Linked DNA regions of Arabidopsis thaliana. The protein of the gene in region 1 purifies or fractionates together with the protein of each later gene. This does not show direct contact. Each region holds a gene or a part of one and is shown on either strand. Other genes may lie near its edges.

Evidence for each region. The genes of interacting proteins can lie anywhere in the genome.
Region 2: the proteins of AT2G32600 (region 1) and AT5G12280 fractionate together in Arabidopsis thaliana (co-fractionation; one large-scale study listed by BioGRID). This does not show direct contact.

The regions. Positions count from the first base shown.
Region 1 is NC_003071.7:13,831,523-13,839,377, forward strand, and holds AT2G32600 (hydroxyproline-rich glycoprotein family protein), read right to left. Parts: upstream 4,237-7,855; 5' UTR 4,004-4,236; coding exon 3,852-4,003; intron 3,597-3,851; coding exon 3,427-3,596; intron 3,213-3,426; coding exon 3,136-3,212; intron 3,032-3,135; coding exon 2,966-3,031; intron 2,876-2,965; coding exon 2,801-2,875; intron 2,666-2,800; coding exon 2,591-2,665; intron 2,476-2,590; coding exon 2,257-2,475; 3' UTR 2,023-2,256; downstream 1-2,022. Other genes in the region: EMB2795 (condensin complex subunit), read right to left, coding at 34-234, 324-384, 457-521, 860-977, 1,115-1,216, 1,421-1,687; CSLB01 (cellulose synthase-like B1), read left to right, coding at 4,712-4,974, 5,174-5,495, 5,700-5,825, 5,920-6,042, 6,177-6,377, 6,467-6,602, 6,676-6,857, 6,934-7,281 and 1 more.
Region 2 is NC_003076.8:3,971,385-3,975,454, reverse strand, and holds AT5G12280 (SWAP (Suppressor-of-White-APricot)/surp RNA-binding domain-containing protein), read left to right. Parts: upstream 1-1,818; coding exon 1,819-1,967; intron 1,968-2,084; coding exon 2,085-2,163; intron 2,164-2,259; exon of another isoform or gene 2,260-2,271; coding exon 2,272-2,394; exon of another isoform or gene 2,395-2,466; coding exon 2,467-3,138; coding exon of another isoform or gene 3,139-3,162; exon of another isoform or gene 3,163-3,204; coding exon 3,205-3,441; downstream 3,442-4,070. Other genes in the region: DGS1 (dgd1 suppressor 1), read left to right, coding at 1-23, 103-131, 218-341, 483-593, 711-811, 961-1,081.

The DNA.
Region 1 (7,855 bases):
TAGAGCGAGGCATATCAGCCAGTAAAGCCAGACCTTTAACAAAGGATAGATCAATTGTTTCTGATTTGTCATGCTTATTTGCAGACGAAACAAGCTTTCCAGGGATTTCTTGTGAATCAAATAGAACTTGACACCCTCCATAGACTCCTAAATTGTTTAGCAGCAGGCCCTTTGCTCCACCTTCATCAAACTGTGCTGAAGTCTGATGATAAAGGGGATCCACTGCAAATGCCACTGGAAAGAAAAAAGAAAGATAAATTATTGTCGTACATAACTTACTTTCACAAACGAACAAAGGGAGTTACGTTAAGTTAAGCAAATACCATCAAATTTCTTCACGTTAAGGGCATCAAAGGAAGGTTCCAGTGTTGATAAAGGCGATATCTGAAAGTTCGAAACACATCAGTAAATAGTCTCATCTATTAAATCCAGAATTAGATTTTGTGTATGAACTACCTTTTTCTCTGGCTGCTTCTTTTGGTTAGTTGCATTTTCTACGGCACCAGCAGCATCCTCGTGATCTAGTTCATGAAAGAAATATCAGAAAAGAATATAAGAACTTTTTTTACTTTAGTACCTACGTTAGAAATTAGAGCTAAAGAAAGAAATTCAATGCATTGCATAGCCCTCTTCAGAGATTTTAAATTCTCGTGTAGAAGTCAAAACAATAAGAAAAGTATTCATCTGTTTACCTAATGAGTTTCAAGACTAGTTTGGCAAACCATATTAACAAAAATGAGTGAATAAATATCTCCACAAATAGATAAAGCTACATGTTGTCTGTTGAAGTTTACCCTGACAGTTATAACCAAGTACTAAAGATAAGATAGTTTCTTGTGTGTAAGGTTATTAATCTAACCTCCACCGTCATCATGGCCAGCTCGGGTAATTCCACCCAAGACCTTGTATGCCTCTGAATGAACAGAGTCTACCCGCATTGAGTAAATCTTAACTCCAGCTTCAAGAGTGCAACTTGCCTGACTTGGACGAACACATATGTCTTAAATATGATTCTGAACTCTTGTTTTTCCTTTCAGTTTTATGTTTTTGTGTATTCTCAAACGTCTTAACAGCATTTTAAAAAAGCCAAAGAAGAATGAAATCGAAAGCTTACCTTTTGAAAATTTGTTTCTGTATTGTTCTCATCTTCAACTTTGATAATCTCACAAAGATGGTCGATCAAATTCAACTCCCATGTATTCTTTTGATTGATTTTCTGTTTAACACAAAACCCACATAACATAAATTAAATTGCAAAGCTAAACAAAGATTATAGTGATTAAAAAGCTACTTGTAAATCTCATCAGAAGCATATTTACCCAAGACCAAGGTCAAAGACAAGGACTTTTAGCCACGAATTTTCCTTTTTCACTTGCTATAATTATGGGGGAAAAAAAGACAGAAGAAAGTAGTTGCTTACGTTTTCACTGGCTAATTTGATACAGTTCTGAAACAACTCGAGAATTTGCTGTTTGTCGAAACAAGGATCAGACTCCGTCTCAGGCTGAGACCCACGAGCGAAAATGACAGACCTACGACGGCTAGCAGCGGCTCTTGCGGCTCGAGCTTGTTCCCGTTCCAATCTGTCATCGTTAGATCCCAAGAAGAAGGGACTCGTCGGAGCCTGGATTCGAGTCGTCGTTGAAGCTGGCTTTTGCTTAGGGTTTGGAGTTAAGGATTCATCCATGACAGAACTTCTCCGCTTGTATAAACTCAATGAGAGAAAATGCGTTTGTTGGGTTCACCGGAGCTTTGTGGATCCGAGAAAATTCAAAATAATTTGGGAATTAGGGATTTTAATATTTTGATTTTCCCTCTTCTTTACCCTTTTGAATTTCAGAGACACTGATGAGAATGTGTAAATACATGATTACCCCCGTCGAAAGGTGAGTGACGTGGTATACTCCACTTTGATCATCGTTAGAAATAATTTAAATATGAAATATCCATGGCCGGTCATAGGACTGATAGATTGGGTTAAGACTTGGTTAAGAGTTAACCGATATATAACAAATGAATTTTGTTTCGCCAACGCTAATTGTACTATTAACGGAAAACAATCTTGTCAAAATGGTACATACGAGAAGCAGATAGAAGAAACTCAAAGAAGGTATCTAGAGAGCTAATACATCCGTAGAGATCACAGCTTTGAGAATCCATGTCAAAACAGATTTGTTTTTCAGTCAAAGAGCAAGTCTCTCTTAGTAAACCATGATCAGAGTACTGTGTTTTTAAACTGCTTCGCTGGATTCTCTTTCACATGTTAGGATGTCCGAAACCTCCAGCTGGTGGCATGGGCCTAAAACCATTGTTAGCCATTGGAGGTGGTGGCGGTGGGAATAAACCAGATGGAGGTGGTGGTGGCGGTTGAGCTTGATGAGGCGGGGGTGGTGGTGGCGGTGGAAGACCATTTGCTCCAACAGCTGACTGAGGCTTGTTTGGTTCTGGCTTGGTAGGCTTGAAATACACCTGCAGCTGTTTTATTACATTCTTTGTCAGTATTTTGATTAATCCAAACACAAAACTTATCCAATCTCGGAAAAGAAACTAAGCTTATGGCTTTATGAGAATTATGATGAGAAGCACTTACTGTAAACATCTTGGAGTCTGGATCCCAGTGAGAGAAAAACTTTGGGGTTGATTTATCAACCTCTGTGCTAGGAACCTGAAACCAATGCGAAAACACAACCATCAATATCAGTAAACAATTCGACCAAGATATGTTGGGCTACTAGAGCTATAATCCCAGATGACTTGTAGAATGTAAATGTCACGAATAAAAGAAAAAAAAAACACATACCTTGAAAGCTATGATTTCATATGGTTCGGCTGCAAATAGAAGGTATTGATAGCTCTTGTCATAAGGTTGAACTTTCTGCACACAAAAAAAAAGGAAGAAAACTATTCAGTATGAAGGAAAAGAAAGAGTTTATGAGATACATAGACAAGGAGTTGTAACACTCACCTGCTCATAAGATGACATGAAACGATGTCTTGGCTTTATGTTGTCCTCTATCTCAGGATATTCAATCTGTAAAACATTGTTTGAGGAGTAAACAGACACAGTGAGATTTTACTCTGGCTAAGTCTCTAATGATGATCATTGAAGTTCAACAATAACAATTAGATGCTTACCTGGAACAGAAGAGATCTTTGTTGCAGCTCGGGATCATACTGTTTTGTAACCCGGTACCCTGGTCTACCAATTTTAACTGCAAGACCATACATAAAATGGAGTTATTAATAAACCCTTTAAAGCAATCAATTAAGTAAAATCTATGTACTCAATAGCAAAGATATACAATTTTGCTATTACTTCTAGACAATCACTTTCCCATTATATCCAATTCCAGGCCTAGGCAGATTTGATATCAACAATGGGAATAAAGCTGTATTATAATTATAGAAAATAAAACAACTTATTACCTGTTCTGCGAACTGAGACATTGCGCTTGAGTGGCTGCGGCTTAGTAGGAGCATCCTTAGCCTCTCGAGCAGCTCTCTTTGCCAAGTTTGTCTGATGCCTCTTACCTTGAGTATGTGCCAAGTAGTTTCCTTCATTGTTATGCAGTGTTAGACATAGTTTACACTCATAGCTGCACAACATAAAAACACACCAAAAATCAAATTAGTGGCATGAGGGGAAAATTAAAAAAAAGAACCTAATTCTAGAAACAACAGCCAAACAAACTCAAGAGCTATCACACATATGAATAATCAAACTCAAAACGGAGCAAAAATGTAGATGAAGTTGGTAAAATCACAGTATTCATAAATCTCAGGTTGATCATCCAACAATTGAATCTGCTACTTACTCGTGCAACAAAGCATACATAAATACAGTAACATACCTTCCAAGATGATTTCGCATGAAATACGGATCTTTAGCAAGGTCTATGGTTTCAAGAGCAAGACGACGGAGACGCTCACGGCGATCTATGGCCTCGTTTTGGCCGGAGGCGGCGCCGCCACTACCAGGCTTGGAACCCCATTCTCTATCCATAGCTGCTACTAGGATCTCCTTTCACGCTAACTAATCCCCAATCGGTCCTTCTATGCTCTCTTGTGCTGCTCTCTCGATTGCTGGAAAATTTTGACAATTGCTGAGATTTTTCTTATGACTTATGAAGATTGGGGAAAAAAAGCACAGATGGGGGAGATTGGGTGGTTTATCAGAGACCCTAATGTGGGTTGGGTTTCGAATAAGATGAGACAGTTTAAGGCCCAATATCAGCCCATCAATGTGTTAAAGAGAAAATAACGTCATCAGGTTTTATTTCATACATGATTCATTATAATGATAAACTGATTAAATTAAAATCCTAGATAGACAGACAATTTCTGCTTTCACTTATTGGAATTTATAATCAAGCTAAATCACTACTTGATAATATAATAAGAATGATATAAATTACTTTAAAATTATTATTAATTATCAAATAAATGCGTGTAACTAATTTCATTGCTTTAAAACATGAACATCAATGTCTTACGTTACTTCTTCCACAAGAAACAAGTAAGACTTTGACTTTTTAGGTTTCTTGTTCTCGTGATCTTCACGAAGGTGAAGCTTCCCTGCTTATAGGGAATCATCATTAACTCTTAGCACATTAATTAGGAGTTTCCCACATGCGTATTTATATACAAGCATGAAGCATTCATCGATGTGAAGTTCGAAAACATATCCAAAAACTGCAAGAAAGCTCCTCCCATGGCGGATTCAAGCTTTTCTCTTCCTCCTCTTTGTGAAAGGATCTCATACACGAACTATTTTCTAAGAGCTGTATATCTCACGGTTCTAGGCCTTTTCTTTTCTCTTCTCTTGCACCGAATCCGACATACGAGCGAATACGACAACGTTTGGCTCGTGGCTTTCTTTTGTGAATCTTGTTTCTTCTTGGTATGTCTGCTTATTACTTGCCTAAAATGGAGTCCTGCTGATACTAAACCCTTTCCTGATAGACTTGATGAAAGGTATCATTTTCGTTTTACACATAAATCATATATACAAATATTATTTTTAGCATATATACAATCATTATTGTTATTAACTTTGTATAAAGTCTGAGCTAGTTTGCTACCTAGCCTTAGTTTAATCATCAAGATAATATTCATTTCTATGTTATCTTTTACGTAATTCATTAACCTGGCATATAAAATATTGTAATTTCAGGGTTCATGACCTTCCTTCGGTGGATATGTTCGTGCCCACAGCAGATCCGGTTCGAGAGCCACCGATTATGGTTGTGGACACCGTGCTTTCGCTGTTAGCTGTAAATTATCCGGCAAATAAACTAGCTTGTTATGTGTCGGACGATGGATGCTCACCTCTCACTTATTTCTCTCTCAAGGAAGCTTCTAAGTTCGCCAAGATTTGGGTACCGTTCTGCAAAAAGTACAACACTAGAGTTAGAGCTCCTTCTAGATATTTTCTGAAACCTATAAGCGTCGCAACAGAGGATTATGAATTCAATAGAGACTGGGAAAAGACGAAGGTAAAAAGGGTTTGATTATTTTTTAGGTGTATGACATTTTTATGTTTACAAATAATATTATTGTGCTTATTTACAGATTAAATTCTTGTTTTGAAACAATTGAGATACCTAATAAAGTTGCACATGATCTGAAGATTTGTTCTTAGTCTTTCATCTTATGTATTGAGAAATTTCTTGATGTTTTCTTTTTGTGTAAATACAAAGAGGGAGTACGAGAAGTTGAGGCGGAAAGTGGAAGATGCCACCGGAGATTCTCATATGTTGGATGTAGAAGATGATTTTGAAGCATTCTCAAACACAAAACCAAATGATCATTCAACTCTAGTTAAGGTATTTAAAAAAAATTCCTTAAGTAAAAACAATCAAGTTTCTAACTATAGTTATATACGCACACGTTAATTGTTTTATGTGTATATATGTGAAGGTGGTATGGGAGAACAAGGGAGGTGTAGGAGACGAGAAAGAGATCCCTCATATCATATACATATCAAGAGAGAAAAGACCAAATTATGTTCATAATCAAAAATGTGGAGCCATGAACTTTCTGGTTAATGAATTTTCTTACACATCTCTCTCTTTTTCTTCTTATTTTTTTCTGAAGTTTCACATCTTATATAGTGTATTTTTTTTTTTTGTTGTACCGAAAATGTGATAAGCATATGATATGATGAATTTGAACAGGCAAGAGTGTCAGGGTTGATGACAAACGCACCATACATCTTGAACGTGGATTGCGACATGTATGCCAATGATGCAGATGTAGTCCGACAAGCAATGTGTATACTTCTGCAAGAATCATTAAATATGAAACATTGTGCTTTTGTTCAATTCCGTCAAGAATTCTATGATTCAAGCACCGAGCTAATAGTCGTCCTACAATCAGTGTGATTTCTTCTTTTAAATTTTGTTTATCTATAATTCTAATCAATACATTGTTATTTATGATATGTCGTTTTCTTTGCTAAATTTAGCATTTGGGACGAGGAATCGCGGGAATCCAAGGACCGATATATATAGGATCAGGATGCGTCCACACGAGAAGAGTTATGTATGGTTTATCTCCAGACGATTTCGAAGTTGATGGAAGTCTTTCTTCAGTTGCTACAAGTAAGTCTTTCATAAAAATCTTCAAAGCGTTATTTAAAACATTTTTTTATTGACCCTTGCTGTTGCTATCAAGGGGAGTTTTTGGTTAAGGATAGTTTAGCGAGAAGATTTGGTAATTCTAAAGAGATGATGAAATCAGTGGTTGATGCAATACAAAGAAATCCAAATCCACAAAATATACTTACAAACTCCATAGAAGCGGCTCGAGAAGTGGGACATTGTCAGTACGAGTACCAAACCAGCTGGGGAAACACCGTATAATTCACTTTTCAGTTTAACCAAATAATATTATATTGTTTCGAAAAATTCTATAATATTGAAAGTTATGCAGATCGGCTGGTTATATGATTCAGTGGCGGAAGATTTAAACACGAGTATCGGAATACATTCGAGAGGTTGGACTAGCTCATACATTTCTCCGGATACACCTGCATTTCTTGGATCTATGCCGGCAGGAGTACCCGAGGCGTTACTCCAGCAGCGTCGATGGGCGACAGGATGGATCGAAATCCTTTTCAACAAGCAAAGTCCGTTGCGAGGATTGTTTAGCAAGAAAATAAGATTCCGACAACGATTAGCTTATCTTTGCATTATCACCTGTCTAAGGTCAATCCCTGAGCTTATTTATTGTCTCCTTCCTGCTTATTGCCTACTCCACAACTCTACCTTATTCCCCAAGGTGACTCTCTCTCTGACACTCATAATAAGGTTTAAAGTTCTGTTTTGGTTTAAATGAAGTTCAATTTACTTTCATAAAATTAATTTTGAAGGAAATTTTTAATGTTTTATTATTATTATTTGTGTGTGTGTATGTAGGGACTTTATTTAGGCATAACTGTCACACTTGTTGGGATACATTGTCTCTATACTCTATGGGAATTTATGAGCCTTGGTTATTCCGTACAATCGTGGCTAGTCTCCCAATCAGTTTGGAGAATAGTAGCCACTAGTAGTTGGTTATTTAGCATCTTTGATATCACACTCAAGCTTCTTGGCATCTCGGAAACGGTGTTCATAATCACTAAAAAGACTGTGGCTGGGACCAAGTCAGCATTAGGGTCTGGACCCTCTCAAGGAGAAGACGTTGGTCCAAACTCAGACTTGTTTAAATTTGAATTTGATGGCTCACTTTGTTTCTTGCCTGGCACATTTATTGTGTTGGTGAATATAGCCGCTCTAGCTGTTTTTTCTGTGGGTCTACAACGGTCGAGTTACAGCCATGAAGGAGGTGGTTCGGGTCTGGCAGAGGCTTG
Region 2 (4,070 bases), on another chromosome or scaffold:
TTGCCCGTGGTTTGCTTATTCAGGTAATCTAAGTTCTTGGCATGAAGCTATAGTTTATGGTTTGTGAAACTCTAATTACATCAGAATTTTTCTATCTTCCAGGTCCAAAAGCTTAAACTGGATATAGAAACGTAAGTTCATTAATTCAGTAGCTCTCAGTTAACTAGAGTAGATCTCTTACTCATTTTGTATAAAACTGAATAATCTTCTTCTGCAGAGCGATGCTTGAACTGGATCAGATACTCCGTGCAAATGAAATAAACTTTGCCATTCTGGCTGCATTACCTGCATTCTTTCTCAGCATTGTTATGCTTACAGTGCTTCGGACCTGGCTTAAAAAGGTAAGGAGTGATAATAAAAGGAAAACCAAATGTGACAGAAATAGATATATTTGATCCATTTTTTATAGTTTAAGACTAACTGTGTACAGTTAATGCAGCTCTGTTATCTTTATTCAGTTTCATTTCATTGGTATGAATCAGGATAGCAAAGCTCAAGGACGAGGAAGAATTGCTCGTATTCACAGGAGACTACTTGTCGTTGAAATTGAAAAGAGAATTATGCAGTATCAGAGCTACATTGAACAAGGACGTGTATGATATCCACTATTCTCCTTTTCCCCCTTTATCTTAAATCATTATTATTTTGCAAATGGGTTCTGTAAGAATCCTGTGAAAACGTTTCTGGTCGTTTCTTGATGCTGTTAACAGGATAAGGACGCAGAAACTGTATTTGGTTTGCTAATATACAGCCTTGAACGTTTGTACCGAGTTGTTGAGAAACCTGCAAGAGCAACCGACGAGTGGGATTTGTAAGTTTTTACTCTGATCCCATCAATTAGCTGAAAACAATTAATTAAACTGAGGCTGCGCCATCAGCTTTCAGTTTACCACAAGTCCTTTATTTGTTAAAGTGGTTATATGTGTGCTTGAACTGACTGATGTGTTTTTTTAATAACAGAGTGAAACAAGATCTGATCGAGTTAGGAAGGCCACAGCAGCAAACATCATACAAGCTAACAGTGACACAACGACTAGTAACGGTTTATGACTGCTTGCTTCCCACTCTGAAGCGACAATAACTCATCTCGGTTTCTTAATCTACTTTATGAAATCCCAATTGTATTCAATCATTCCTCCAAAAATGCTTGCTTGAGGGCCACTTTTGGTACTAAGCCAAAACCTTTTTTTCCTTGAAATGGTATAACAAGGCTACACATAGAAGATAGTTTTGAAATTCATGATCTATGTTGCAATTTAAGATATCAAAACCTATTTTGTGGTCTTTTTTTTTGTTAAAAGGCATTCAATTAAAAGAGGTAATAATACAAGCTAAGCTATGACATTTACGTCATACAGTTTGAGTAGAGAGAGAGTTAAGCAGTAGCTTAATCTATACTTTTAGAAGCTAACAGAGAGAGTAGTGAAAGATAAAAAGAGAAAGTGTAGATTGTCAAGAAGATTCTCAATTTTGTGGTCTTGTATGCTTTGGCTTCAATATTCTCTAACCAATTTCGGTCTCATCCCATATCATATACGGAGTCGAGATGAGATATTTTATGTCGAGTCTATAACAAATAAAATCAACTTGTGCCAAGATAAAACTCTACAAATGCTAACTTTTGGCTTTGGCAGGCAGGGTGTTGGTAGAATCAGAGAGTTGTGAGTTTGGGTTTCTAAACAAGGCAATCTAACCGGATATAGACCAAATGTCTTGTATTTTGTCTGTGATGGGTTGGACTTAAACTCAATTTATTAAAATGTGGTTTATTTATATATAGATATGCCTTTTCGTTATGTTTGGTTGATCATTCTATAAATGGTGGGTACACTCTCGCCGGATACGCCGGACACTCAATTTATATCCTTGTGTTACAAGCTTCAGATTGTCGAAGTCGTTCGTTCTCCGCTTTTCTCGACCTCACGTCCCGGTGGTTCTCGCGGTAGGGCTATGCGTTCCCGGTTGAGGTACGTTGCCTTCTTATCTCTCACCGAAACCTTAAGTAGTCATTAGCGTCGCCAGTTCCTCTTCTTTTTCCTGTCGATCTCTTTCTCCGCGTTATTATAGCTGCCTTGTTGGTGGAGATTGCATAAGCCAATAATTTTAGGTCAAATGAAATTCGGAGAATCTGATTTTGATGTTTCATATGATTTGATATTCATGGTGTTTTTTCAGAATTTATCTACGAATCTGACTTTAATGTTTATTATATATATATATATATATATTCCTGTAAAAAAAAATGTCCACTCCTTGCAGAATGATTTGCAGTTGGAGAAAGACAATTCAAATGAAGCTCCGGCTGAACCACCTCGAGAGATGAGAATTCATATGGATAAAATAGCACGTGTGGTTGCCCGGAAAGGGTTGAGGATAGAGAGAAAGATCATGAACGTTAGTTAGATTCCCTCTAAATTCGACTTTCTGAAGAAGTCAGATCCTTATCACGCATATTACAAGCACAAGGTTAGTGAATACCTTGCTAAGAATCAAGATGAAGGAGCTCAGGAACCTGAAGCTCCAGCTACCCTTAAAGGTGATGCACAACACTATCGCCGGCCTTTTCTTTTAAGCGATCCGGCTCCCAAGTTCCCAGATTATGTTCTCCCTGAAGGATATACTATAGAGGATGTTGATACTATTTTTCTCACAGCGCAGATTGTGGGTCGGTACGGGGAGGAATTTTGGTTGGATTTGATCAAGGAAGTGGATAACAAACCTCAGTTTGAGTTTTTGAAGCCAGCTGACAGCAAGTTCGATTATTTCAATCGGCTTTCTGTTGTGGCTTCGGAAGGACTAAAGCGATCCGAAAAGCTGACTAGTTCTCGTATGGCGATTGTTAGTAAGGCTTTTTTCTACCATCTTCGTCGTCAAAATGAAAAGCGGGAGTTGACCCACAAGGAGGGAGCGGCAAAGGCTTGTACTCTGTTTGGTGCTTTGTATGCTTTTGTGGGTCCTGATGGCTGCTTTGCTGACATCAAGGACGAAGATTTGCCACTACTTCAACACCCTTCAGCGATCAAGAACATACTAACAAAGCTGCAGCCTCGTATGCCTCCGCTTGGGGGGGAATCTGAGGAACCAGAGTTTGACGAGTCTGTCCTTGTTCCAGAAGACCAGTTTCTTGCTCAACATCCGGTTATTTTTTCCCCTCTGACTTGACTCTGTACTCTGTATCTAATTAGGAGTAACATACATTTGCAGGGTTCCTCAACGATCATGGTTTCTGTTCCAGACCCCGATGATTGGAAAGTCGTTAAGATCACAGTGCAGTCGCTATCGGAAAACGTGGCAAGTTTGAAGGAGAAAATATCTGGCGAGATCCAATTTCCTACAAACAAACAGAAGTTACGTGGAAAAGCCGGATTCTTAAAGGACAACACGTCGCTTGCACATTACAACGTGGGAGCAGGTGAAATCTTAACACTGTCTTGGTGGTGAGAACGCAGGGAAAAGCTTTTCAATCAGAGTTACATTGAACAAGGACGTGTTATTAGATATTCTAAATACTCTTACTCTCGCTTAAGATTTACGTGTTTGAGGGATACTCTAGAGTTTTTGGTACCAAACCTTATTTGTTTCCTTGAGATGGTAAAACAAAGTTTTACTTCAAAGATAGTTTTGAAATTCATGAAATTTGCTGCGATTTAACCAATTTCTGTCTCGTCCCATGTGTGGTGAGTCGAGATGAGATATTTTTATGTCTAAGGCTAAAACAAATAAAATAACCTTGTGCCAATATAAACCCTGTCGAAATTTCGTTTGTTTTTGTTTTGTTTTGTTTTCGTGAAACTGAATAGTCAAGTTTCCATTTTCATACTCAAATGAATAAATAATGGAGATGTAGGGAAACTGTATATACATGGTTAAAGTATGAAGTGATATCAAATGCTTTTTCTAGGACAACTGTTAATATTGCATAAAATAGCAAACAAACAAATGCTCTTCTCTTCAACTTTATCTCAAAATATCTGTTGAACAATCATGTAGTAAAGATCATAATAACATTTTCACATTTAATAAAATCATCCATGATATTTTCATGTCTATAAAGAGCATCCTTAATCCAT